7 linked regions of the Oryzias latipes genome follow. The protein of the gene in region 4 interacts with the protein of the main gene of each other region in a pairwise test. Links are inferred from orthologs where the notes say so. Each region holds a gene or a part of one and is shown on either strand. Other genes may lie near its edges.

The links.
Region 1: the proteins of wdyhv1 (region 4) and necab2 interact in binary tests that used the Homo sapiens proteins (3 or more experiments, as listed by UniProt). The two-hybrid records come from large-scale screens. The link is inferred for Oryzias latipes from reciprocal best matches to the Homo sapiens genes NTAQ1 and NECAB2.
Region 2: the proteins of wdyhv1 (region 4) and apip interact in binary tests that used the Homo sapiens proteins (3 or more experiments, as listed by UniProt). The two-hybrid records come from large-scale screens. The link is inferred for Oryzias latipes from reciprocal best matches to the Homo sapiens genes NTAQ1 and APIP.
Region 3: the proteins of wdyhv1 (region 4) and eif2b1 interact in binary tests that used the Homo sapiens proteins (3 or more experiments, as listed by UniProt). The two-hybrid records come from large-scale screens. The link is inferred for Oryzias latipes from reciprocal best matches to the Homo sapiens genes NTAQ1 and EIF2B1.
Region 5: the proteins of wdyhv1 (region 4) and edaradd interact in binary tests that used the Homo sapiens proteins (3 or more experiments, as listed by UniProt). The two-hybrid records come from large-scale screens. The link is inferred for Oryzias latipes from reciprocal best matches to the Homo sapiens genes NTAQ1 and EDARADD.
Region 6: the proteins of wdyhv1 (region 4) and lztfl1 interact in binary tests that used the Homo sapiens proteins (3 or more experiments, as listed by UniProt). The two-hybrid records come from large-scale screens. The link is inferred for Oryzias latipes from reciprocal best matches to the Homo sapiens genes NTAQ1 and LZTFL1.
Region 7: the proteins of wdyhv1 (region 4) and lonrf1 interact in binary tests that used the Homo sapiens proteins (3 or more experiments, as listed by UniProt). The two-hybrid records come from large-scale screens. The link is inferred for Oryzias latipes from reciprocal best matches to the Homo sapiens genes NTAQ1 and LONRF1.

Annotation. Positions count from the first base shown.
Region 1 is NC_019864.2:24,684,458-24,688,455, forward strand, and holds the start of necab2 (N-terminal EF-hand calcium-binding protein 2), read right to left. Parts: upstream 2,801-3,998; 5' UTR 2,755-2,800; coding exon 2,428-2,754; intron 1-2,427. Other genes in the region: hydin (hydrocephalus-inducing protein homolog), read right to left, coding at 3,526-3,726, 3,994-3,998. UniProt on the Homo sapiens protein: May act as a signaling scaffold protein that senses intracellular calcium.
Region 2 is NC_019861.2:8,213,016-8,216,959, reverse strand, and holds the start of apip (methylthioribulose-1-phosphate dehydratase), read right to left. Parts: upstream 2,801-3,944; 5' UTR 2,675-2,800; intron 1,761-2,674; 5' UTR 1,758-1,760; coding exon 1,692-1,757; intron 1-1,691. UniProt on the Homo sapiens protein: Catalyzes the dehydration of methylthioribulose-1-phosphate (MTRu-1-P) into 2,3-diketo-5-methylthiopentyl-1-phosphate (DK-MTP-1-P).
Region 3 is NC_019870.2:1,222,556-1,225,219, reverse strand, and holds the end of eif2b1 (translation initiation factor eIF-2B subunit alpha), read right to left. Parts: intron 2,414-2,664; coding exon 2,297-2,413; intron 2,225-2,296; coding exon 2,112-2,224; intron 2,042-2,111; coding exon 1,973-2,041; intron 1,900-1,972; coding exon 1,824-1,899; intron 1,046-1,823; exon of another isoform or gene 878-1,045; coding exon 752-877; exon of another isoform or gene 684-751; coding exon 528-683; 3' UTR 512-527; downstream 1-511. Other genes in the region: ATP-dependent RNA helicase DDX55, read left to right, coding at 3-295, 362-511.
Region 4 is NC_019869.2:4,812,114-4,816,183, forward strand, and holds the start of wdyhv1 (protein N-terminal glutamine amidohydrolase), read right to left. Parts: upstream 2,801-4,070; 5' UTR 2,754-2,800; coding exon 2,680-2,753; intron 2,383-2,679; coding exon 2,283-2,382; intron 1-2,282. UniProt on the Homo sapiens protein: Mediates the side-chain deamidation of N-terminal glutamine residues to glutamate, an important step in N-end rule pathway of protein degradation.
Region 5 is NC_019873.2:9,878,132-9,882,241, forward strand, and holds the start of edaradd (ectodysplasin-A receptor-associated adapter protein), read right to left. Parts: upstream 2,801-4,110; 5' UTR 2,610-2,800; coding exon 2,573-2,609; intron 1-2,572. UniProt on the Homo sapiens protein: Adapter protein that interacts with EDAR DEATH domain and couples the receptor to EDA signaling pathway during morphogenesis of ectodermal organs. Mediates the activation of NF-kappa-B.
Region 6 is NC_019878.2:21,516,326-21,520,285, reverse strand, and holds the start of lztfl1 (leucine zipper transcription factor-like protein 1), read right to left. Parts: upstream 2,801-3,960; 5' UTR 2,547-2,800; coding exon 2,544-2,546; intron 2,265-2,543; coding exon 2,140-2,264; intron 1,673-2,139; coding exon 1,478-1,672; intron 1-1,477. UniProt on the Homo sapiens protein: Regulates ciliary localization of the BBSome complex. Together with the BBSome complex, controls SMO ciliary trafficking and contributes to the sonic hedgehog (SHH) pathway regulation. May play a role in neurite outgrowth. May have tumor suppressor function.
Region 7 is NC_019859.2:13,839,896-13,843,395, reverse strand, and holds part of lonrf1 (LON peptidase N-terminal domain and RING finger protein 1), read left to right. Parts: intron 1-226; coding exon 227-349; intron 350-2,407; coding exon 2,408-2,596; intron 2,597-2,691; coding exon 2,692-2,905; intron 2,906-3,021; coding exon 3,022-3,127; intron 3,128-3,248; coding exon 3,249-3,363; intron 3,364-3,446; coding exon 3,447-3,500.

The sequences.
Region 1 (3,998 bases), on a different chromosome or scaffold from region 4:
GTGTGAGTGTTATCTGAACAGCTTCAAGGAAAACCAAAGTATATTTCCATTTCCCAGAAGGACTTTGACGTGCTTTCTGGGTAATGGAAAATACAACAGATTTACAGATTTAAGTAGGTGAAAGCTTTTAGACATTTAGTCTGTCCAAGGAATGTTTTAATCCAATAAAGGTATGGATTAAAACTCAAACACTTTGGACCTATTTCTGTTTAAATCCAACTTTAACACCCTCAGATTATGATGCTGAAAGTCGATTTACCCCTCATTGCCACAGTGAGAAGAGAGCTGACAGATGGTAAAACACATGCAATGTTGTGATTTTTTTTTTTTTTCGAGGAGTGACTAATTCTGTGTAGAAATAGGGAATCTGGATTGTAATTAGCGGCTGGTCAGCCAACATTCAGTGCCCAGACTTTTCTGTTTGTCAGTTCACACTGAGGCTGAGGGATAAGGTGCAGCACAGAGCCGATGATGTCCACCAGACTGATGAGGACTCACTGCATGCTCCACATTGAGCTAATTTATAGCTGCAGTAAAAGCTTTGACCTGTTTGGAAGTGAAAGGCTCAGAACTGGAACTTCTGATAAGGAGAGAAACACAAGGATGTGGAACTGGAGGTCGGACAGAAGACAGCTCATAAAGACGAGATCCAGATTGCAGCATTTTTTACTTTTAATGTAAGAACTTGTCTGCTCGTCTGTCTGCGTCATCTTTTTTTTCCTATTTACTTTTCTATTCAGGATCAGCTGCAAAAACACAACAATACAGTAAGAAGGACCCCTGTGTTGTTTCTGAATTCTGTAACCAAAGAGACAAGGTATTGCTGCATCACAGCTGTGTGTTCTAAAGAAGCAAAAATGAGCCCAAATATTGACAGAACTGCAGCAAAAAGCTTCAATGCTTCTTAAATGGAGACTTCCTTCATTCGTTGATGATTTTTGTGATCCTCTAATGTCTAAAAGGGTACAAAACAGACAAGCTGCTAATAATTTATTGGTTTTATTTAAATATGAATGAGAGAATATGATCGTTTTCTAGTCACTTCTGTCAATAACAGTACTGGTGTTGATGGAATCTCTCATCAAAATGTTTCCTTTTTCTGGATTTTGCAGAAAAAACTTGCATAAAAGCTGTTTTATGTTTAATTATTTCCTTCCTCTGTTGCAGTGAAACTCATTAAGAGGTTTTTGCATTATGGCAGCTAAAGCTCTAAATAAGATGTGCAGTCTTGGAGGCATCATTGTAGAACAGATCAAAACCTTGGTGCCAAACTGAGCTGTGCTTCAGATGACAAGCAGCTCTGCATTGTTCGGCTCCTCTAATGCACCCATGGGGCCAACTCAGCCCCACAAACAAGAGCCAGCAACAGAGGAGCTTGGAAAAGAGTGTCGCGTTAAGGAGGCGGTGGCTCACAGCACAGAGGACCAGCAAAACTGTGAGGGCTTAACTATTTCTTTAAAATTAAGAATAAACAGGAAAAAGCCGGACGATGCCTGAAACCTTATTAAAACGGATTTCTCTGAAAACAGGAGGAAAGGACAAATGAGGAAAGGAGGGGAAGAAGAAAAGAGCAGACCGTAGGAGAAAAAAAGACAGCTGGATGCAGGTGTGAGCGTGCAAATCAAATGTTCACTTCTCCACCATGATAATGATGACGGGGTCAGCAAGAGTGGAACATGGCAAAATCATTAACATTCTAGAGTTCGGGGTGATGTGCAAAAGAAGGAGAGAAAATGCTAAAATGATTCAAAGCTGAAGTCAGATCCTGCAGAGAAGGAAGAGTTGCAGGCTTAGAGATCAAAGCGGACTGTCACTGAGAGGCATAAATACAAAACGACAGAAATAATGAACAACAAAAACAGGAGAGAAATCAGGAATCTTTTCATGTATCCAAACACACAATTTTAGTTTGCTGGTAGGGATTCTCTCAAGAAATAACTTTTTGAAAATCTAGAATAATGTGACATGAAATTTGAATTGGCCCTCTGGTCATAACTTTATTCAGGTCATCTGCAGAAGCTGATCTAGTTTCTCTTTTGTTTTGTCTTCTATTAAGGCCGGACTAGAAGATCTCAGGGGGAGACAAACGATCTGCGGGTATTGATGAGCTGACCTATATTAAAGATTGCGCCAAAAGTGGATCAGTGAACCATCTAACTGACTGATGAATAGATTTTTGTTGTTGTTTTAAGGAATCTGTTTCGAAGTTTATAAACTGAATACAGCTCAGGCGGTTTGGTGGAGGATGCAGACAGAGTGGAGAGTTCAGGCGCCAGCCTCATCCCGGACACCCACCAAAGTGTCAAATAACCAGCAGACCTCCTGCCAAGTCTCCACTCCTCGCTCTTGTCTGTGCGTAAGTGCGCACGGCGCGCACCGCTCCCTGGATCCTGCGCATCCAACCCCCCCATGCAGCCTGATACTTACATCCAGAATGACCGAGATGCCTCTCCGTGGCTCCGGGGCAAAGAACTGCTCCTGGGCCACGGCCACCTCCTCTTTGCTGGAGGCGTACTCCCGGCTGGAGATGTTCTTGTTGTCGCTCATTTTGGTGACGATCCAGCGGACGAGCCCGTCGATTCCACCGGGCTGGGCGCCGCTGTTTCCGGACTGCGCTGCCGTCGCGGACTCGCTGTCCTGACCGGCTGAAGGCTTGGGCTGCTCGCGGCTCTCCTGCGCGCGGAGTTTGGCTTGTTCTTTGTTGAGCAGTTTGTGGACTCCGTCCCTACAGTAACGCGCTGCCTGCTCGCACATCCTTTTGCTGCGGAGCGCTCATGCTGCGCTCTATGGGGGAGAGAGAGGAGCTCCCCACCCACCCCACTTCCCTCCTTACATCACACACCCACCCCAAAACACACCCACCCCACATTCCCTGCAAACCCACTCAGGAGACAGAAAACCTTGTGGAAGCTTCAACTTCTCACTTTCCATGCGCGTTTTTTTTGCAGATCATGCGTTATGTGGCTGATTTCAAATGCACGTCAGAACTTTTTTTTTCCTTTTCAAAAAATATTTTGTGGGTGTTTCATCCCGCAAACAGTTTCTGTCCTTTGGCTGTATTCCAGGGGGAGGATTTCTGCATCCCTGAAGGAGCATCAGAGAGTTTTTCCTCACGCAGCTCCTCTCATTAGAGGGTGTCCTGCATGAGTGATGTGACAGATTTAACCTTTAGTAATGACTGACTCCACCAGGTCTGCCCTTTTCCAGAGTTAACGGAACAAAAAGAAGATCAGGACAAATGAGGTCCTGCAGGAAAGTTGACAGAATGACAAAACAGCTGTGGAGGATGATGTGTCTTTCCTCCATCAGACAAGCAGCAGAACTCTGATCAGATTACTTGACATTACTGCCCCCTTGTGGAAATGAGAGTGCATCGACAGGAAGGACTTTGTAGAATTTATTAAGTCATTTAGAAAATGTTTATGCTTTAAAGTATTGCAGCTTCGTCATTCTAATTAAATTCATATATAACAGTTACTAAATAATAAAAACGGATCAGCTGCTTCCTGTTGTGGTTATTTATGATCACTGGGATCCTTTCAGGTAAAAGACCCATGAGCAAGGCTTGCTGTGTCCCTCGCAGCGCTCGCTGGAAACGGTCAGCTTTCCGAACCAGGCCTCCCTTCCAGGCTCTCCATCAGGAGCTTCAAAGGAAACCTGGATGTTGTGAATCTTTTTTGGTTTGATGTTGTCTGGTCCTTTGACAGTAAAGCAGGGGTTGTCCACCTAAAGCAGCAGAACATCCAGTCAGTTTCAGGTTACTACATTTACAGGCATATTCATTTGGGAATCCAGCAACTCAAGCAGCATAACAATAGAAAAGTTAGATGTAAAGTGGGGTTGGAGCACTTTGTAAGTCACTGTGCTAAATATAAATGAGCTGGGTGCTGCTGCAGCCCTTATGAATAATTTAAAAAAATCTTCTATTGAAAGTAAACAGGTCATAGTTCTTAATATGAAGACTTCCTTTTACAAGGTCTGCCTGTTCTTTACCTGAG
Region 2 (3,944 bases), on a different chromosome or scaffold from region 4:
AAGAAAAAAAGTTTTACGTGTTTTTGACAGTTGATCACATGTTTGCAGTGGATCACATGTTTTTTACACTTTCGCAGCTGCCACAGATAAATGAATTTCCCCATTGTGGGATTAATAAAGTCATCTAATAACTTAAATTACACTCCAAATGATCCTAGTCTACATAAGAGGTGCGGCAAGGAGGCGGGTCATCCGATTGGTCAACAACATGAAGGCCCAAGGTGCTTTACAGTCACAGTCCCATTCACACACTGATGGACAATGGCGGCAACCTTTCACCAGTGGCAATGTGGGGTTCCGTGTCTTGCACAAAGACACATCAAGGTAAGAATCGAACCCGCAATCTTCAGATCTTCTTCGACTGCCCTACCGCTGCACCAAAGTATCCCCCTTGCAGCCTAAATACTTCAAGTTGCCAAAAAATGTTCAAATGTGGTCTTAAAAGTATTTAGTTAGTATGCTTCCTATACTTCATGGACAAGGTTATAGTAGACTTGCTTTACTCAAAGATACGGCAAGTGTACTACTTTTTGCTAAGGGTTATGAAGACCAAATCTGTCAGAAAAAAACAAACAAAAAACTAAACATTATTAAAAGGTCTGATGTTCACAAATAATTTTATAACCACTTTGTTACCACTTTCATATGGGTTGGTTAATCTGAGGTGACAAATTCTCAAACAATTAGCATGAACTGCTACAGTCTCTGTAAATGACTGTTATTTTTTTGATCTATTTTCAGACTTTATGACTTATGTTTTAAAATCTTCATACAGTTTCAGTGATTTGTGTTTTTCTTTTATGCTACGATCACACCGGCCTTAGCAACGCGCGTTGAAGCAACCATTTCAAATAAAAAGTCTATGTACGGTACATATGCATGTTTCGGGCTTCCGCGTTCAAAACTCTCACGTTAACGCATCGCCATGCAAGATTTTAAGTCTGTTTTCGGGCTCTTTAAATAAAGCGTGCAGCCATTGAACACGCGTTAAATGTTTGACCAATCAGAGTGTCGGATTTGGGAGCCACATATGGGTAGCGTCCTTTTTTCACTCACTGAAATGCCAACCCTTTGAAAATTGATCATGGAGGATAAATGAATAGTTGAGGTCTGTGCTTAGACGGCATTATACAACACCAAATCTGTCATAATATGTCAGAATAGAGCTGTGAAAGAAAAAGCCTGGAGCAAGAGTTGAGACCATCGACTGTAAAAACAACAGACGAATCGAGGTATGATGTCACCCATAGCTCTCCTCCCTTCCTGATACGTTTCAACGTGGCGGCGCCCGCATCAGGAAGCAATGGTACTTCCTATTTGGGAACACGAGAAGGGAGGTGTCCATTGTTTTTACAGTCAATGGTTGTGACATTTGCACTACTTTGACATTTCGCACCAAGCCTCGTCCAACTGTAGATGCATGCGATAGTATCGGGTAGTGACAGTTGAGTGTAAAAGCGTTCAAGAACCCCTCGTTCAGCATGTTCTTAAATGTACGACACATGCCCGCTGTGAACGCATGAATCCAAGGACGAGCTTAACCCTGTCAGTCTGAAGCAATGTGCAGAAACCAAAATCTCATCCACCTGGTTGGGGAGTGCACACAGAGTGCTGATTGTATTCTGAAGATTTTCCATTTAAACAGATTTAACCAAACATTCACCAAAGTTTCTACATGATGTCATACTTGCCTCTTTCTCTGAAGCTGCTTGTCCTGCATCTTGGCAGCCGTTGCTAGGGTCACACAGAGCTGACATCTCCTGCCATGAAACAGACCAGTTTTGACAATTGATTATTTCCTAACTGACACCTGGATGGGGGTGGCACTAACATGACTGTTTCATGTCCACTAAATGAGAGCGCTTGTATAAAAGGGGAATTCCCTACATTTTCCAATCATCGCAAAAGTAAGACAACTGTTTTTGAGCTAAACTTCTCAAGAACTGTTGACGGTTAAAGGAGTTTTCCTCCGAATGTGGGAAATTAGGAATCCCCATCAAAATACTCCCCAAATTTAAGTATGCAGTGAGTTCAAAAGTGTCAATAAGTTGAAATGTTAAGAGAAATATTCCAGTTTTTTTAAATGACACTATACTTACTATACATATTATTAGTTATTTAAACAAACTCAGTTTAAATAACAGATTTTTACGGCCATTATAACAGCACAGATGGACTTACTGACTTTATTTTTTAAATATTCCTTTCCACCAAGATTAGCTCCTTTAGGACTTCTGTCTTAAAACTTTAGCAGGTAAAGTCCAGTCAGTGTTTAGTTTTGTCTGCAAAAAGTAAAAGCCCCTGGAGTCAAATTCACCCTTTCTCCACTAATAAAAAGAAAAAGGTTAAGAAGATAAGGGCTCAGTCAGAATTCAACAGTAGTGTTTCTTTTCCCCCCAGAATTCACATTTCAGTGCTTTAGTTTTATGTCCTACCCATCCATGTGGTAAATAAAAAAAGGGTTTTCAATTACGACATGATTATATAAGAAAGGACTGAGTCATTTTGAAATTTTAAACAAAACTTGAAGGAAATAAAACGCAAAACAGCTGCCAAGTAAGTACGTTACGTGTTATTTAAATTTAATGCCTGTGTGTCGTCTGTTACAAAACAACGACGTCATTTGTTACTGTTTTCTTCAGTTTGCTGGCCATAAAAACATGTGGCTGCTTACCTCAGATATTTCGCAGAATTTTCCCTGGGTTACACACAAAAGTAAACACAGCTCGTTCTGAAGATTGCGTTACGTCACTAATGAGCGACACCGACAAGTAGCAGCACCACCGGAAGTGGAAGTGAAAGACAGAGGTTTTTTTTAAAAAATTATAAACTTTATTGACAATTGAGGTATCATACATAACATAACGAACAGTAACTATATAATCAACATTACCTAGAATAGCAATCACCATTGCCAAACATAACATATAAACATAAAAAGTAGAAAAAACGAATGAACATAACACACACAAATAATTAAAATAAATAAGTAAAATAAAAAATAAAATAACATAAATCCATCCAAAAGGTTTGATATTGGTCAGGGGTACTCATTAAGTTTGTATTTTTGAACAAAACTAGGCAATTTCAAGCCATTCTTCTTTTTCATATAGTGAAGTGATTGAAAACAAAAATAGAGCTCTTTATGAAATGTAATAAAAAGTGGTTTGGTCATCAAATATTTATTCTTGTGAATATAAAACTTTCCTTGAATTATCAGGACATTAAGGACCATATTTTCTGGTCTATTAGGTGAAACCACCCCGAATAAAACATTTTTTGCCTCTAAATGAACTGTCATTGCAATTTTGGAAGAATACCAAAAGCAGAACTCTTCCCAGAATGTTTTTATGACTCCACAATTAAGAATAAATGATCCACCGTCTCAATGTCCTTTAAACAAAAACTGCAGTCATTCTCCTCAAATCCAAAACGAAGTCTCAAAAATTCCTTGGATGGGTAAACATCACTAATTATTTTAAAATGAATGTCTCTTGGTAAAATACAAAATTTAAAGATATTCAACCTTAATTCAATGACCTCTTCTTTAGAGAAGTGTTTAGATTTTTTTTTTTTCTGATGAGATGTTTGGAAGAGTTCTTTCACAAACAATTTTCGTATGAAGCTGTTTGGTAGTTCTGTCTTTGTAACCGTCTGTCCGTCCAATAGGAGTGAAGGAAGTTTTAATGGAACTTTGTTTAACAATAGATTTTGTGATAATTGGATCAACGACCGAGGAAGAGCTTTAATCACAGCATCATATTGTTTCCTATCAAATAATTGAAATTCAGAACTAAAATTTTCAAATGTCAAAATATTTCCAGAATGATCCAGTAGATGCAGAACAGAACATATCCCTTTAGTCAGCCAGTTTTTGTAAAACAAGGATTTGTTTCTTCGTAACACATAACGGCAGTTCCAGAAAGGCGTGGTGTGCGGACTAA
Region 3 (2,664 bases), on a different chromosome or scaffold from region 4:
AGATCTGGACTTCGCCGCCTTGGCGCGCGGCTTCGGGCTCCTCCGGCTCCCGAAGATGCCGGAGCTGAGGGGGAAGACCTTCCCAGATTTCCCTGAGGCGGCGGTGGACACGGACGCCATCCCGTACAAGGACAAGAACAGGGAGAAGCAGAGGCAGAAGACGCTGGCAGAGCAGAAGGACCGAGACGGGCCGGCGCCGCCCAAGAAGAACTTCGCCAAGAACAAAGCCTGGTCCAAACAGAAGAGCAAGAAGGAGCGGAGGAAGAGGAGGGCAGTGAAGAGGAAGCACGAAGAGGTGAGCGCTGACGGCTGGAGGCCGTCTCTGCGAGGACCGACGGTTTAAGCTCCTCCTTCTCTGCAGGGCAATGATGATGAGGAGGAGGCGCTGGAGCTCCTGAACGACACGCGCCTCCTGAAGAAGCTGAAGAAAGGCCGGATCAGTGAGGAAGACTTCGAGCAGCAGCTGACCGACGGGCCGAAGAGCAAACGGGACGCAGAGGCCCCTCTCTGAACCGCTTTATTGACATTTATAGATATAATTTGATGAGTTCGTCGCTGACGGCGGACGGCGTGAGGACGCCCAGGTCCGTGAACAGGAGGGTGATGAGGGAGGGGGGCGTGTAGTCGATGACGGGGTGCTCCTCCGACAGGTTCTGCCTCTTCTTCAGGGTGTCGGCTTTGTACTGCGGAGCAGAAACAGACGTGAGGGCGGGGCTCGCCCATCCAGGAACGCCGTCAGAGGAGGTCTGACCTTGAACTTGTCCGGGACGTCCTGCTGGTTCAGCGGGTACAGCCGCACAAACTTAAAGCTCTCCGCCACCACGTAGAAGGGCTTGTTGTGAGCTTTGGAGCAGAGCGCCATCTGATAGGTCCCGATCTGAAAGGACAGACGCGCCGAGGTCATTGAGGGCAAACGTCCCGCCACCACGTCCCGTCTGACTGAAAAGAGTCTCCATTCTCAAAACTAAACTGGTATCTGATAAAACAATGATTAAATCTGCTGTTTTCTATCAAAATAATTTGAATAAAAAGATTTTTTAACTGATTCTGAAAAAGTCTGAATCTATTTTTCCCATAAAGCTCGTTTGATGAAACAAAACCTTTACCCCTTGTGCTATCTTAGATGACCCCACCCTTACTTTGACGTGTTCTCCCTACCATGACAAAGGTGGATAAAGGTGGAAAGATTTCATGTAATCCATGGACACCAGAGAAGATCACCAATCATTGAAGAAAAAAGGTTCAGAGCACTGTCTAGTGGGTCTAGATGACCCCACTGTCTAGTGGGTCTAGATGACCCAACTCCCAACGTTAAAGTGCCTAGGATAGCACAAGGGTTAACTGAACCCTTTACCTGCAAAGGTACGCTTGATTTATTCACCCAGCTGTCCAGGCATTTCCATCATTGTTGGTACTTTTTAGATCTGAGTATTGTCAGATTTCCTTTTAACAGAAACAATAAAAAACTTTAAGTTGTCTCTTTGAGTCACTGTAAACTAATGACACGTCTTTATTTTTATGTTTTAGTTATAAATATCTGAATGAAGGATGCACTGACCAAAGAACACTTTGAGTTTAGCTGTTTCTCTAGGACGATTTTGGCGACTAAAGAAACTTTTCAGGCGTGTTTCTAACGCAGCTCCACATGCGGTTAAAAACACGCCAGTTCAGGATTCATCAGACGGTGACGGAGGAGTTTCCGCCCGTCCGCCTGCAGTCGAAGAGCGAACCACATGTTCACTGTTTCTGAACTCCACAGTCTGAATAGGTTTGCAGTTTAGGTCCAAACCCACCTCAGAGACTCCGCCCCTTCCACGCCTCACCTTGTTGATGATGCCGCCGCTCTCCACCACCCCCTCTGCTCCAACGATGACCAGATCCACCTTCTCCAGGACGTACCTGAGAACAGCAGAGCATTGAGGAGGACGCGGTGCATGATGGGAAAAAACGTCTGTAACCGAGCAGGCTTCACCCCACAGCGGCGTCCAGGACCACGGTCACCGGGACGTGGAGCTTCGCCAGCTCCGCCGCCATCTGCTGCCTGAGAGGAAGAGGAGGAAGTGAGGCTGTCTCTGCAGCACAAAAACGTGCGCACGCGCGTGCACACTCACCCGGCGGCGTCGGGCTGAGACTCGGTCACGTAGACGGAGAAACGCTTCTTCTCCATGGCGGCTTTCTCCAGAACCCGCAGCACCACTCGGGAGAAGGAGTGGGTCAGGATTTTCTGAGGATCATCAGCAGAAGAATGAGAGAGCGGCAGGACGGCGAGCGCCAAGAGGGAGCGGCGGGAACTCACGGCGCCGTCTTTGATGAAGGTGTGACACAGCTTGGCCACTTTATTCCTGGACATGGAGATCTTCTCCAGAAAGAGCTCTCCTCTCTCCTCCATCACCTTTTTACAGCGGGACAAATCCTGAGGACCAACGAGAAAACAGCCGTTTCAGCCAGAGACCAGCGCCACCGCAGAACACCAGCGCCACCGCAGAACACCAGCGCCACCGCAGAACGCCAGCGCCACCGCAGAACGCCAGCGCCACCGCAGAACGCCAGTGCCACCACAGGCAGCAGGAAACGACCATCCAGGTTCAAAGCGCCACACAAAAAAATACAGAAAAAAAAAAGAAGTTCGGAACATTTGGAGAACAAAGTTGTAAAATTAAAGGT
Region 4 (4,070 bases):
ACCTCAAAACAGATTAAGCAGATTTAGAAAATTTATGGATAAATGACAGTGTGATGGCTTTTTTGTACATTTGGGTTTTCTCTCTCTATTTTCTTTTATATTTTCTGCTGGAGTGGGAGGTTTTCTGTCTTCCTTCTCCTCTGCCAGCTTTGATTGCACATTTGTGCCTAATTGTCCAGAGCACCAGACTGGGCAAGGATCTCCAGGGCAGAACATACATACAGGCTTTGTTCTTTGTACAGTATTTTCCACACTACAGGGCTCACCGGATTATCAAGCACAACATCAATGAATGGTCTATTTTGAGCATATGTCACATATAGAGCACACCGAACTACAAGGCAGATTAAGTGAGATTAAAGAGTCAGAGAAATGTCCGTCAGTCAGTCACGTTACTTTGCTTGCAGCACGTGGACAAAACAGACTGATAGCGCTAAAACAAACGTTACCGTGACTACGCTATCACACAACCTTTTTGGTAACCAAAAAAACAGTCCAACATCGCCACACATTAGCCGCGTGAGGGTATTCACAATAACACCCAACCTTGTTTGCAGCATAACTAATTAATAGATAGGGTGATCATGATTTTAAGACAAACTGTTGCTTTTTAAATAAAAAAATTAAGGGTTTTAAGTGTGCTTTATACTGCAAATATACAGTAATTTGGTTGTTTTTTTATTAAATAGTATTTCTTTTTCCTAAAATGGGGTGTAACATAAATTGGGGGCTTGTCCGGGATTTCTTTGGTTTTTGTAATGTACTGTGTGTAGTGGCCAGTTTTAGGGATTGCCTATTTGTTTGATGAACTTCTTTGTTTGGTTTGATTGACCGTTTTAGTGAGACGCTTTCACAACATTTGAGCGTTATATATTGGGTGCTCCCAAATTCGAAGTCTGCGTCCTTCAATGGCCGCAGTCTTCCCTGGCGATGTTACTCGGGTCCTTTGTTGAGCGGGTAGGTCAGATGTTAATGGCTGTGAATTTGGACGAGTCTAGCCTTTAGATAATTCCAGCCATTACATCAGTGAATGTCCTGTTGCCTAGCAACCGTGAGTCCCGAACAGGGAGGAGGAGTGAACCAGGCATGGAGCCATTGTTGTCAGAAAATATCCGGGTTCTACTGCTATGCATCTTGGGATATGGACAGCATAGAAGGGTACACCAGAGCAATCCTTGAAATCGGGTAAAAAGAAGGCTGTATTCGGTGGCCATATTTAAAGGACTTGTTGAATTTGGACAACATGTTACGTAAGCAGCCTTCAGATGCAGCCCAGGAAGAACACAGCCCTCCAATTTGGACACAATTAATGGAGTACAGTAAACCCTTGTTTTTCGCGGGGGTTACGTTCCAAAAAGAACCCGTGATAGGCAAAATCCGTGAAGTAGAAACCTTTTTTTTTAACAATTATTATACAATTAAATTCTCTATTATACATTGAAAAGAAAGAACAAACCGTTTTACAGGCTAAGGAATTGTTTCACAAATAAAAGTACTTTAGAAAAGGTTTTTCAACAAATATCTTCTGTATTGTACTGTCAAATAAGAATTTTAATCATCAATGTGAACAGAAGGCTTCAAATCGCGGAGATTAGCCCCGCCCACCGCGACCCGAGTATTTGGATTAAACGGGAAGATATTTAAAATGATTTTTAAAAAAATACAAAGTACGGTCAGACAAATAGTGACTCAGGTGTAATTCACTGCTCTTGAGCCGCTGCATCCTGACTCCGCTCTGCAGTCTCCCTTTGAAGCCCGCGGTGCAGCTGTGTTTGTTCGGGAGAAGAACATAGTGATAGGCAGTTGTTGTTGTCGCTCCTTTTTTTCATGGGTTATAGAGAAACTCGAAATTGCAAGATGATTTGCACGTATCTGTTGTAAATTTGGCACGCTGATTTACGTACGTGTACATATTAAACTGCAATGTTATTGACGCACAGGTAGAGAAGTGAAGTGACTTTTTAGCCAATCAGAATGCAGAACACAATGCACGATGCAAATCCGTGAAGTAGCGAAACCGTGAAAAGTAAACCGTGTTATAGCGAGGGATCACTGTAGCTGTATTTTGAAACTACCAGATGTTTTGCAAAAAGGATTTTTCTTTTTACAGAGAAGGCCTGTTATTTACTTTCAAATATTTCTTGAGACCACCTGAACCCTTGAGGGCTCGGTGCCCATCATTCTCAGTATGAGGTACTTTTTGAAATATTATTTTTAAAGCAAACATTTTGTTTATTCGATTGTCTTGTTAAGCCGTTTAAAATGTTTCCAGATCTTCTTACCGTTCTGGTGTCGTTAGAGATGAAAATTACAGCAAACTGGTCCAGTGGAACCATTTTCTGTGCTTGAATAAACTCACAGAGCTTCCAAACATTTTCCTCACTGAGAAAGTAAAGGAAAGCAGCATTAGCCACTCATTCACTTGATTAAAATGAACTATATTTCCCTGAAAATTCATTCAATCATTAATTAGACAGATGGCATTGAAATAACTCATTCACTATAACAGTTTTAAAAATGGGTATAACATTTAACAATGTAAACTGTGAATATCGATTAGCCGAGCGGATCCGCTTAGCATTTTGATGTTTTTCTTGACAATAAATGATTTATTGACACAAAACTAAAGACTGCAGGACAGTGGGCTGCTTTTCTGATTTGTTAAAACTTGGTTTTTACCAATAACAGCTGGTATAAACGCAGTTTTCCCGGCTTGGTATTACTTCCACACCTTTCTTTAACTGACCCTTCATGTCTGTAAGCTAACCGGAAAGAACCTCACCGAAAATACAGTACGTCACATCCGTCCTTTCAAACTAAAAGCCCATTCCTGTAGCGTTGATTTCACCAACTTTTTATTTTATTTTATTCTTATTGAACTTCAAAGGATGACACGTACACATTCACATAACTACAATAGAAAGATATAAAAAGAAAAAAGAATACAATACAAAGAAAAAATAAATAAATAACATTAGAATTGTAGCTCACACTAGGTATGGTCATACAACATGTGATCTTCAATGAAAATTGACAGTTTTATTGCATTTCTGTTTTTCTTGAATTCCAAGGATTTAAAATGTAAACAGATCTCTTTATGAAATGTATTGAATAATGATTTGATTTTAAAAAAATCTGCTCTCATTGATGAAGAATTTCCCAGAATTTAATAAAGTATCAAATGCCAAATCAAATAAATTATCACCAGAAAGTACTCACAACTGTAACGGAATAGAAATAGGAAAAGGAAACTTTGAGGAGCACCAACAAACACAATACTCCCAAAAACTGGTAACATATGTACATTCAAAAAACAGATGATCAAGTGATTTTATATTTATTAACAGTTATTTTCTTGAAAACCAAAACGTAAATGTAGCAGTTCCTTGCATGGGTATACTGCATTCATTGTTTAAAATGGGTTTCTTTGTATTTTGGAAAAATTGGGTTTTTAAAAAACTTTTTTGTGTAATGCTGGGACATAGAATGAGTTTTGTAGAATGTTGGAAACAGTTCTCCAACAAACAAAGAACGTATTACATAAGTTTGGAAGTTTTGAATTAACCAGTCGACAATCAAACAACAAAGATGGAAGCAGGAATTTTGCAGTCTTTGATTTTGGAAATGAATCTTTTTGAATTGAGTGGCAACTCAAACACCTCATCTAACACAGTATGTTAGGGAAGTTAGGGTCATGCTGCTGAAGGAAGCGACACACTGGAAGGTACTAAAAAAAGTGAGAGTGAGGCAGACAAAATTTGGAAGCAAGATCATTGAAGCTTGCAAATATACCGCTTAGGTACATGTCCTTAAAGTTGATTATACTGTACCTTAATCACTTCCCAAATCATGAATACGAAGTCTGTCTGACCAGGGAGAAAAAGGTGATTTTTGTGTATAGGACTAGTGGTAAGCACTTGAGTGAGTCCATACGTCTGTCTGAATTGAAACATAATTTTAAAGGTATTGGTAACTACTGGATTGTGTGTAATATAGTGTGAAATGACACAGGGGAGACTAGATCCAATTAGGGCTGTCAGAGTTTTTGTATTATAGGAGGAGGCTTCAAA
Region 5 (4,110 bases), on a different chromosome or scaffold from region 4:
TGAAAACTTGAATGTGTTTTATTGTATTTTTTAGCATGTAAACATGTCAAATATGATCATAAATCGACATTCCCCATGGTTAATATACTGAATAAATATAAAAAATGAAATAAAACGGGTCTGGAAGTCATCTAAACTGCATTTCTTATTTCCTTTAATGATTTAGCGACATATGTTAGAGCAGATGACATAAGCTCCGACTTCTATGGGACGTAAACAGACAAAGACCAGTAACAGAAAGTGAATGGATCCTGTCATTTGAAACTCTTTGCATTGATACTCCTCTCTACTTTTGTAGCTCAAATGAGTCGTTGAAACACTGAGAGGCGTTTAAAATATTTTGTAGCAGTCAGATCTGTGTATCTGATGTCCTGGCTCCACTGAGAAGTGTTCCACACGCGCTCATCCATCATCTATCACTACAAAGTCAGTTCCTTTACCTTGGATATGAGAAAAAGGAATTTAAGCGGTCCGGGGCAGCAGTGGGAAAAGTCCCCCAATCATAAAAGCTCATATTTTAGGATTAATTCCTCTAATCTATATAAAGACTTCAAGCAAAACTAATCTGTATTTGTCTGTCGTAGTTTTATATTTAGGGTTTTTAAGGCATAATTTAAATAAACATTCTTTCTAATGAATGTAAAGGTAAATAAAAGGGTTTAAAAAGGTATTTTTGTGGGAAAAACGCAAACTAAGGTTCACTGCTACTGAATCGCACCAAAACGTCCTTCTAATCCAACTAACCCGATTGTTGCTTTCATTCTCTGTGCACTAACACTTCATCAGTGCAAACCCTAGTTTAAATCATTTTTTAAACATGGTTTTGACATTTTTACCAGACTCCCCGGAAAAGAGAAGATCTTTCTGCTCCACCACCTACACGTAAAACTAACATACCACAACTGCAAAAGAACAAAACCTAATGACTTAATTCCTGGAAAGGTCCCCTTTTGCGTCACTGTATATTCATATTGGCTACTCCTCCAACAGTCAACAACAATTTTAACCCACCTAACGGTTGATCACCAGCATCAACTCATTTATGGGAGACATATTACACTTGAACTAATGTCAGGAGCTCAAGGGGATGGTGTTTGTACAACACAGTCCCTAAAAAAAATAAACGCAAGTGAAAGTAATCGTTCTACCTGTTGAAATGACTCGCTACTACTTAGTCATGTTGTTATGTTGTGTTTCAGTATTTAAATTTAACCAAGTTTTGTTGATGCAAGCCTTTCCAAAGTATGTCAAAAGCAAAACTAAAAAAAAAAAAAAAGATAATTCACTAAAAAATGATTACAGCTCCAGATCTGTGTACGTTATTGAGTTAAAGACAAGCTGAATAAGACAGGTTGGGAAAATTGTTGAAAACTTTTTTCTCGTTTGTAATCTGTTAGCAGATCTGCATGTTTTCCACGTGCATGTGTGGGATTTCTCCGGGGACTCCGGCTTCCTCCCACCGTCCAAAAACCTGCTTCATAGGTTTATTGGTTACTATAAATAAACGTATCTTTAAATACAGAAGCAGTAAACCCAAATTGTAAAAAAAAAAGCATTAGTACGTATGCTTCACATTAAGATAAGCGGATGTCTCCAGCTTCCTCCTTATAGTAGAAACTGTGTCGATCCAATCAACATATTTGCAGGAAACAACACAACTGTCAAAACTTGACTCATAAGTGTATGCATGCATCTAAAGTTTATATCTTAATAGATGCAAAGAAAAGTTGCATATTTTTTTAAATGAAGACTGATTCCATGAAAAAGCGTCGAGCTGTAGTTAACAAGTTCAAACTGATCCAGCTATTAGGTGATGAAAAAACGCTTCCTGTTCATTAAACTGAAACACAGACGTGTTGCAAAAGGTCCTGCTCTGCAATGATGTCATTTTTGTTTCTGAAGCTGCAAAAGTAAACATCCAGATGTTTGATTTAGTCTCATCAACTCTCACTGTGTCTTAGCAAAAAGTAGTGGATTTAAATGTACTACAAGCATACCCAGTGTGTACTAAACGTGAGGCAGTATACTAGAAGTTTACTTTACTGACTATCTTTATATTGTAAACTTAAAATGTTTCAGTGTAGTCTGAAGAAGTATTTACTTATTATACTTCCTTCACTAAATGAACCTGACTAGTATACTGGTACTAGCTATACTTATACTCAAGTATACTTATTAAGTTAGACTTCAAGTGTACTACTTTTTGTGCACAAAAACAAAAAACAAAACACACACACACTTAGTTTCAGGGCAAAGTTGAGTCATCAGGATTACTCTTTACTACAATTATTTATCATTTTTAATGATAATACATGTTTTTTATAAGGATACTTTTTGGTTGAAATGAACTTTATTACTTCAACAACTAAAAATTTCGAGCACATTTGTCTATTTGTAACTCTTGTGCTTATTTTCATTTTGTTTTTGAATAAAAAAAGTTAACTTCGAATACCTAAAGTAAGAAAAAGTTAAAGATAATCTATGCAATCTAAAAAGAAGTCTAAAAAGAACTGAGGAGATTTTTGGTTCTATGGTCTGCAGGTGACGCTGAGTGTGAGCGCGTGGCACTCACCGCATCGTCCGGCTTTACACGCCATCAAGGTGCTCATGGTCGAGGCTCGTGCGCGTCGGGACGTAGGAAGAATTATTAAAGTGCGTTGAAGGGAAGAAAAGAGCAACAACTATCAGACATCCTCCGCTGGGAACTCTGCTCAGGGTTCGGCGCCTTCTCGCCCGCCGCGGAGTCTCCTACGAATGAGACACCTGAGTGATGACGACGACGGCCTCAATGAATGCCGCCTTCAGGGGCGACTCGTTCATTACGACACTACCACACGCAGGAAAAACTACTACACGCAGGAAGACAGAGTGCTCTGATAGTGACAGTCAGTGGCGGTTCTACCCTGAATTACTCCCCGGGCGAGACCCTCCTCTGGCGCCCCCCCCCCCCCCCCCCCCCCCATCAAACACAAATAAATAATCTAAAATAAATATTATAAACTACAAATCACACTAATAACACACTAGAATAAATGTAACTGCAGCACTAAGAACAGAAAACACTAACTAAAACCTAACCTTTGTGGCCTTCCTTTTGCAAGCTTGTCAATAACGTCATCATATGAAATCTGCTCCCCTACTGAATGATTGATACTAACAACAGCAGGTTAGTGAGTTGCTCCTGAGACATTGGTGACCTCAGGTATGACTTGATCAACTGGAGTTTTGAAAAGCTAACAGCAGCAGCAGCAGCAGCAGCAGCAGCAGCAGCAGCAGCAGCAGCAGCAGCAGCAGCAGCAGCAGCAGCAGCAGCAGCAGCATGCTACCATCACAGCTCATTTAACATTATGAACTAATATACAACAGTAAAACACAAAAAAAACGTTGTGTTACAGCAGAGCAGACAGACACACGAATCATAACTAATGTTACAAGTTAAGGCAGAGCAAACATTTAAGAATAAATATCTTAAAAATGACGTTATTTGCAATATTTGGGCCTACTTCAGTTTTGGTCATGATAGACCAAACAAGAGATTTTTCCTCTGCAACGTTGTTGATGTTGGAGGGTAGATAGCATTCGAATTTAAAAAACGTGCATCTAGCTATGCTATATTACCCTTTTCTTTGTCTCTTTTCTCCTCTTCTTCTCTTTTCTTTCTAAATTGGGCACCAGTTTTGACCTTTTTTCTCCATATTTCAGATGTTTTTTGCATTTAGCATAAATGTCCTGACATAGGCATCAAGTCTGTCGACTAAACCAACTGTCATCTAAGTGAAGAATTTTTTTTGTTTTCCCATTTTTTATTTGGGCATTTCACACAAAAATAACCAAAAAAGCATGATTTTTTTTATACCTTTTTTATACCCGCAGCCCCCCCCCCCCCCCCCCCCCCCGTTCGTCAAACATTTCCAGCAGGAGCGCGTGCAGCTGCACCCAGGGGCGCCAATTCGCTACATGGGGGCGCAATTTTTATTTTTATTTTTTCATCAAGCACTGAGCCGCGGCCCGCGACCGTTGCCCCCCTGGAAGAAGATCCAGCCAGGTTTGCGCATGCGTTTTGCGCTCCGTGCTCACCTCTCAGCCTGTACCCTTCACCCCGCGCCCCCT
Region 6 (3,960 bases), on a different chromosome or scaffold from region 4:
GTCTGGGGCAAACTGATGCGTGATGTTCCTGCGTTTTTGTAGCTTCCCAGCGGCGACCGGTTTACCTGACAAAGAAAACGTCCCCTGAAGATCTGAATCTAAATGATATTACAGTGAGGACGGGAGCTACAACATAAAACGGGAAGAGTTAGATGCTTTTGCTCTGCATTTTTTTCACAAATGGAAACTTTCAAACGATTGCAACCAGCATTCCTGAACATTTTGAGATTTTACTAAATGTCAAAAGAATGAAAAGAGAGTTTTCAATCACACAAATCCTTGTTTTTTTGTTGTTGTTTTTTTACCCACAGACTCAGATAGCACAAAAGTTTTGATTGGGAATTTTAAAATCTAAAAAACTTTATTGCAAAATATTAGCTAATTTAGAATTTCTTGTCAGTCTTAAAATAGCAACTCCTAGTTTGGTCATTGAGGTTATGAACTTTTTGGGGGTTTTGGTTTCATTCCTGCCTGATCTAGACTTCCTGCTTCTGCATTATGGTCAGTTTTGATGCATTTTCTTCCTGAAATTTGGCTTGAAAAAAGCTGTTCTTGAAAACTTTCATGTTAATCCTCCTCCCCCCCCCCCCCTCCATAGCATGAGAAACACTGTGAAGGTCCAACAAGAATTCGGACTCATGGGACTACAAAATGGGACACGTCTTTGGCATTTTGGGGCTGGGATTTCTGGAAGCATTTCTTGATCATTTGAGAATGTCAGAAGTCAGAACTCTGACACTACACCTCCCAGCAACCCCAGCGTGCACTTCCTGGATGCCGCACACCTGACTCTCGTTCACTCAATCAATCACAGCATACTTAAGCACAGCACTGAGCTCAGTGTTAAGTATTGTCTGTGCAATGCCGTCCGTCCGTCCGTCCGTCCGTCCGTCCGTCCGTCCGTCCGTCCGTCCGTCCGTCCGTCCGTCCGTCCGTCCGTCCGTCCGTCCGTCCGTCCGTCCGTCCGTCCCACGCGGTTTGCTTGCCCCAACTCTCGTCTGGATCCTGACTGCCCTGTCTCTCCTCTGATGATCTCATGCCTTTTATTGGCTCCTGCCTACCTGACCCAGATTTAACTTTGTGGACTCTTAGCTGGGCTCATAAACCTGCTGCATTTGGATCCAACCGTCTGCCTGTTCTTGTGACAGTTGCTGACACAAGCTTAAGTTTCTTTTGTCGTTTATTTGTTACCCCATCTGAATTATTTTAAACCTGTATTGGACATGATATTAAAATACATGTTCAGTGTAAAATTTCTCAGTTTAAAGGTTTTTCAATGGATCTTTGTGCTGTTGTGAGCAAAATACTAGTTTGTGGTTTGAATGTCTTATAGTTTTCATTCTATTTAAACACTCAAATGTAAAAAAAAAAAAAAAAAAAAAAAAACCTCCCAGATTTTCTGGAGTTGGAGTTGCAGTACATATTGAAGCATCCTTTAGATTTTAAAAAATGAGAGTACAGCTTCTGTGTAGCTCACCTATTTTCCAGCTCAGAAATGTCAGTCTGGAGTCGAAGGTAAAACTTCTCAGCCTGTGAGAAGAGCTGCCTCAGCAGCAGCACGTTGGTATGAGCGGAGTTGATGAGCTCCACCTCCACCTCCCCGCGCACCACCACCTGCAGCCCGTCCAGCATCTCCTTCACCTCGTCCACTGTGAAGGTTTCTTCTACCAGCCTTCAGGGGGACAGAAGCATTTACAGCTGTTGAGCTCTGCGGCTTTAGGAGGAAGCAACTTGTGTCATCAGGGTCAGAAACGTCATCAAAGAATCGATTTATCAACAATTCAGTGTCTTAAATCTGTCTGAGGCAAGTTATGAATCTAATCGACCGTACATGTGATCATACTGTTAGCGTGGTAGAATGCTCTAATGTGTAAAATATCAGGGGGCTGAACTTTATGAAACTAAAATATGAATAGAATTGTTAACTTGTTTGTTTGAACACCAATTTAATTTACACTTGATTGTCTTGGAAGAAATACAAGGAATCTAGAAAAAATCACCTGCGCTGTTCAATACCCAGGTATTTATCTCAAAAGGCTAGAGATGTCCTAGAACGATTTTAAGGTCATCGAATCGGACCGTTCAAACGCAGATCTGAATCAAATCATTGCTAAAATGGATCAGAAACACTTTAGTCACCTGCTTTCTTTGAGGTCCTCGAAACAAGAGTCGATAGTCTTCAGCCTCAGGACCCTCTTAGAACGAGCAAACCTCATGTAATTGATCATTTCATTCTGATGGTGCTCATTAAATCCCAAGTCAGCCTGGAAAGAAAATCACAATCAATCAAAGTAATAAATATACTCCAATAAAGACACATCCGAAGGCAACAGATGTCATAACATTCATAATTAGCTTATAAGCTAACAAGAAGCGGATTTTCTCCTGTATCAGGGCCTGAGTCTCCCTGCTAGCTCTTCATTGAGATGCATGCTAACAGACAGTCAGTAGCTTCCCACTAAACTCCACATGATCGCAGCTCTAACATCGAAAGACGTTTGAGATTCTGGGCTTGAAAACGCAAACAGGTGGTCAACACTTACCATGGTGGCTGCAGCTAATGCTAACGTCAATACTAATCTAAACGATGGGGAAATTTTGATCCGAATTTGAGCTACGATGAAATCAAAGTGAAGCCAGGCGGGATAGAAAATGCAGTTGTTGTTTTTCTGTGTATTTGTTTTGGAAACAAGCTAAACAAAAGTTATACAAGAAGAAAAGATTATCTTCTAGATCTGTTAGCTTAGCTTTCTAGCTACCAGTGTTTGCCTTAAGAATGCCTTGGTAACGGAATACAGCGTCATCACCTTGGTTACGACTGATGCATTCACGGACAGTATGTGCAGAAGAGAGAATCAGCAAAGCAGCTACAAATTCCATCCGACCATTTTCTAGTCTGGTACAGGGTCACGGAGATTCATTCAGTCATACCCCAGCTACTTCTGGGTTAAGGTAAGGTTTTCCCCGGACTGTAATTGGAAAGAGTGCCCGGGGAAAAAAACGCATACACAAAGAAGACGCAAACCCCAAACACAGAAAACACACAACGGGGATTTGAAACTACAAAATCCCCACATACTTTATGTAAAAACAGCACGAATTTCTTCTTCTTACTTTAATTACTAAAAGGGCGAAACATGTTCTTCCATTATTACCGCTGAATGTCATTTCTTTTGAGTTCCTTTTTTGTGAATTTTGGTTTGTCCGCCCGTCTTTGAATGCGTCATTTTCACCAGGGGTTGGCTTAGAAAGGCGGGTTTCCCCTTTCAAAAATGTTTTTTATTGTACTGTATTTTTAAATAAATTATTAAATAAAAAGACAGGACAAAAAACACATCTCAAAAATATATTTAAGACAAAATTATTTACATTTACTTTGCAAAGGAAAAGATCAATAAGAAAGGTACAATGAATGAAGAATAACACACAACATTGATAGAAGTGTGGTTTCTGTAAGTAGCCCTAAACATTTACAGATGTGTGTTTTTAACCTTTAGGCTTTTTCAACTGAAGATTTTTTCCAAATATTTCTGAAGTTCCATTTTAAGTAAGTGTTCAGTCTTTTTTGCTTTTGTAATATTAAATTTTGTCCAAAATAAAAACGTATAATATATAGTCAACATTTTTACGTTGTTATTTATAAATATTAAAAACACACAACAAAAAATAAAGATGACATGGTTTCAAATTGATTCATTCATGTGTGTGCTATACAACAGCAGATGGCAGTGTGGCCCAAGAAAAACAAATTGTTTAAAACATGTTAGTTTTTGAAAAGACATGTCCAGGATTCATACAGTTTAAGCATTAAGACATTGAGAAACATTGAGTAATTCTCCAATATTCGTCCCAGCACCGCTCTTCCATTAAAGTTCCATTCATCTTGTTGATTTAGGAAAATTCCGATTACTTATGGCAACACTTTTCTGCATTTTGGTCTAGATTTAAGGATGTTTATTA
Region 7 (3,500 bases), on a different chromosome or scaffold from region 4:
GTATTTTTAGATCACAAACCAGAGAGCATGTTCACATTTATTGTTTTTAAATTGTCGTTTATTTCCACTTTTTTTTTTATATGCTGCATCCCAAAGTGAGAGTTGCAAAGGAATACCTACACACCATAAGGAAGCTGTTGTCTGTTCTCCATGTGACTGAGCTTCAGGGTTAATGTGAGGTGTAAGCGTAATTCTTAGGAGACTAACAACATTTCTGTTCTTGCAGGCCTTGTTTAGGAAGGCGATGGTGCTGCATGAAATGGGGCAGGTGGACAAATCCCTGCAGGTCTTCCTCCACTGCCTGTCTGTCAATGAAGACTTCCCAGGAGCTAAAAGACAAGTGGAAAAGGTTTGTTCGTAAAAAAAAGCTGCTAATTTGGAAAAAAGATGCTTTAACCCTGTTATCGTGGATGTGATGCACATGGTTGTGTTAATCAAAGGTTCATGTTTGTGGGACGAGTGAGTGGAGCTGAGGAGGGTGACAATTATCTGACAGAATGAACAAAACAAAAGGACAGTCATGTGTGAAGGTTTTATAGCTTGCATTTGTTCGTCTGCCACGGATGAGCAGATTTTGGCCCATTCAAGGGATTTATTTGCTGTTGTTAGATGGAACAATCATCCTTTCATCAGGTGTTTCTCACCTATTGATCTGAAGGTTTTGAGGTTTGATCGGTCAATAAGAAAGCAAGCTTATTTTCCTCAAGTGAGATTCGATTTTAACCCACAAAAACTCATGGTGATATCAGCGTAACTAAAAAAAATGTCAGAAATGGATTCTGTGGTCCACTTGTTTGTGGTAAAATATACATAATTTTATTTTGAAGAAATAATGGGTCTGGGTTCTTATGGGTTAAAACTTTGAGAAATAGTTTTTCCGTTCCTGTTGACTAACATCAGAGAACCCAACATTTTGTGCGTGTCAGAACATTTGACTGAACCTGTGAACAGAGCAAGATCCAGCGGGTCTCCTCTGTGATCGTTTGTCATGGACTTACATAAGTTAGTGGGTCAAGTCTTGTGACTGCGCGTAATGACATTAGTGCCACTTAATAGACAGAACACAGACACTATTGTAGTTATGTAAGTGACACACTTTCTCCTCATGCATTTTTTAGAGGAACATGATTATTCTTCTGGCAGAGGCATAACGTGTGATGAATTTGTCTGCGTCTGTTTGGTCGGACTGTCTGTACAGATTCAGACAAAAACCTCATTCATACGTTTCTGTTTTGATCCGGGTTTAAAGTGGAGATGGGGCTCCGATAGTCACTAGAGGACGTCTCAGTACACTCTGGACAGGTTGTTTATGGGGGTCAGATAACAGTCAGCCCCATGGTTTTTTGGAGGGGTGTGGCAATCACCTGGCTGGGATTAAAGGAGAGATAAGATATAGACAACATTAACTTGCTTTAAAGTAAAAGTAACAATGTGTTTCTTTACCCTTTGTAAACAATAAATAGAATTTATTGATGTGATTCCCAATCATCACACAAGTGCCGATCCTTTTACCCCAATTATTATACCTTGTTTGGTTGACTTGTACTCCGGAGTAATTTATAATCCGAAAAAGACGATACAAAACAACATTCTGACGAGAAATGGCCACTTTTGCTAAGGGATCTTGACAGATTGTCTGAGTAATTCTTTTCGAGAACCACATTTTGAGTCAGCTGATATAAGACTAAAATGACTACATAGGAATTACAAATGATATAATAATGACTCTGCAGTTCTCTGAAGTCTTCTGCAACCTCTTGTTGCCCAAAAAAAATCGATCATTTATGAAACAAGCCCCAGATAGATAACTGGAGAGCCTTTTTTGTTACGCATGTAATCTGCTCATAAGGCAAATGTCGTATCAGTGGCGTTCCAGCAGTTAGGAAACACCAACTCAAACAGCTTCTTTGGTGTCACATTATTCATAGCAAAGAACAACACGGTTGCTCTTTGTGGCTGCATGGACCAGACGTGGAAAAATTCTGAGCTGTCTCCATATGCTGGGGGGAAAAAAAGCAATAATGGCATTTGTCTTATACATAACCTTATTCACACCTTCATGAGATTCTTTTCATCAGAACCTTTTGACATGGCTTGTTAAAAAAATATTGCCTTTGTTCAGCTGACATACAGATTCCTCTCAGCTCTTTTTGGTCAGGCTTTTCCACAGGCCAAGTAGTTCCAGCTGGTGTCAGGTGATCGCTTCCAGAGGTTTTTAAATCACGTTAAGATTCCACTGCATGTTTTTGGTTTAAACATTCCAGTTATTAAAACTGATCTGTATGACTTTTTTTTAATAAAAGGTACTTAACCCTGACTAGATGTTGCTTTGTCTCTGACGGTTTTGATGAAGCTAACGAGTTCTCTTGTTCAGCCTGATAACATACTTGTTTGTTTTTTTTTGCAGATCTTGTGTGACCTTCTTTCCCCCGCGGATGAGAATATTAAAGTCGGCCTGAAGGAAACCACTCAGAACACGTTGCCTCATTTACGCAGCAAAGCCCTTATGGCAGAAGCACAACCACAGTGTCCGGTTCAGAGAGCACACCAACAGCAGAACCGAGCTGTTTCCGCACACCAAGTGAACAGCCAGGAGGTACCTTTGAATAAATACTGCTATATGCGTGTTTAATGAATGACTTGATTCAGTGCCACTTAGGGAACCATCGTCTGTCATCTGTCATTATCCAGAAACGCTGGGAAAGTCTGGAGCGGCCCGGTCTGAGCCGAACTCAATCGCTGCGAACGCACGGCTGCAACAGTGGCGATGAGGGACTGAAGAGAGTCAGCTCTGCTCCTCAGCTGGGCGACCAGGACAAGGGAAGTCTGCTGAAGAGGAAGCTGTCTGTGTCCGACCTGGAATCCTGCTTTGTGGACAGTGGAAGTAGCAAATACAAGAAGCAAGGTGTGTTGTTAAGACTCACTGAGATTATTTTGGCTGCCTTTAATAAAAGACATACTATAACACTTTACTGCAATAATAGTTTAACAGCTTTTTTTTCCCCCCTCTTCCTAATTTAGGTGTCACCAAAGGCTCCAAACAACACATTTCCAAAGCAAAAACCTGCAAAAGTGTTCCTGAGGGTATGCTGGACTCTAGTGACCTTGAGTGTTCTCTTTGCATGAGGTAAGAGAATACTAGGATGAGGATTGTTTGTTTTTACCAATGCCTTCTACATTATTTGTTGTAAAGTGAAAACAAGTCAAGAAAGGCCTGTTTGTAACTCAGATCCGTTGTGTTTGTACAGATTGTTTTATGAGCCTGTGACAACTCCATGCGGTCACACCTTTTGTAAGAACTGCTTAGAGCGCTGCTTGGACCACACACCGCACTGTCCGCTCTGTAAAGAGAGCCTGAAAGAGGTGAGGCAGCAGTCCTAGAACAGCCTCAACGTCAGAACACTTCAGGCCTAACTCTCTGCTGTTACTCATCCTGCTGTCTCCAGTACTTGGCGTGTCGGAAGTACATGGTAACCACAGTCCTGGAGGTGCTAATCAAA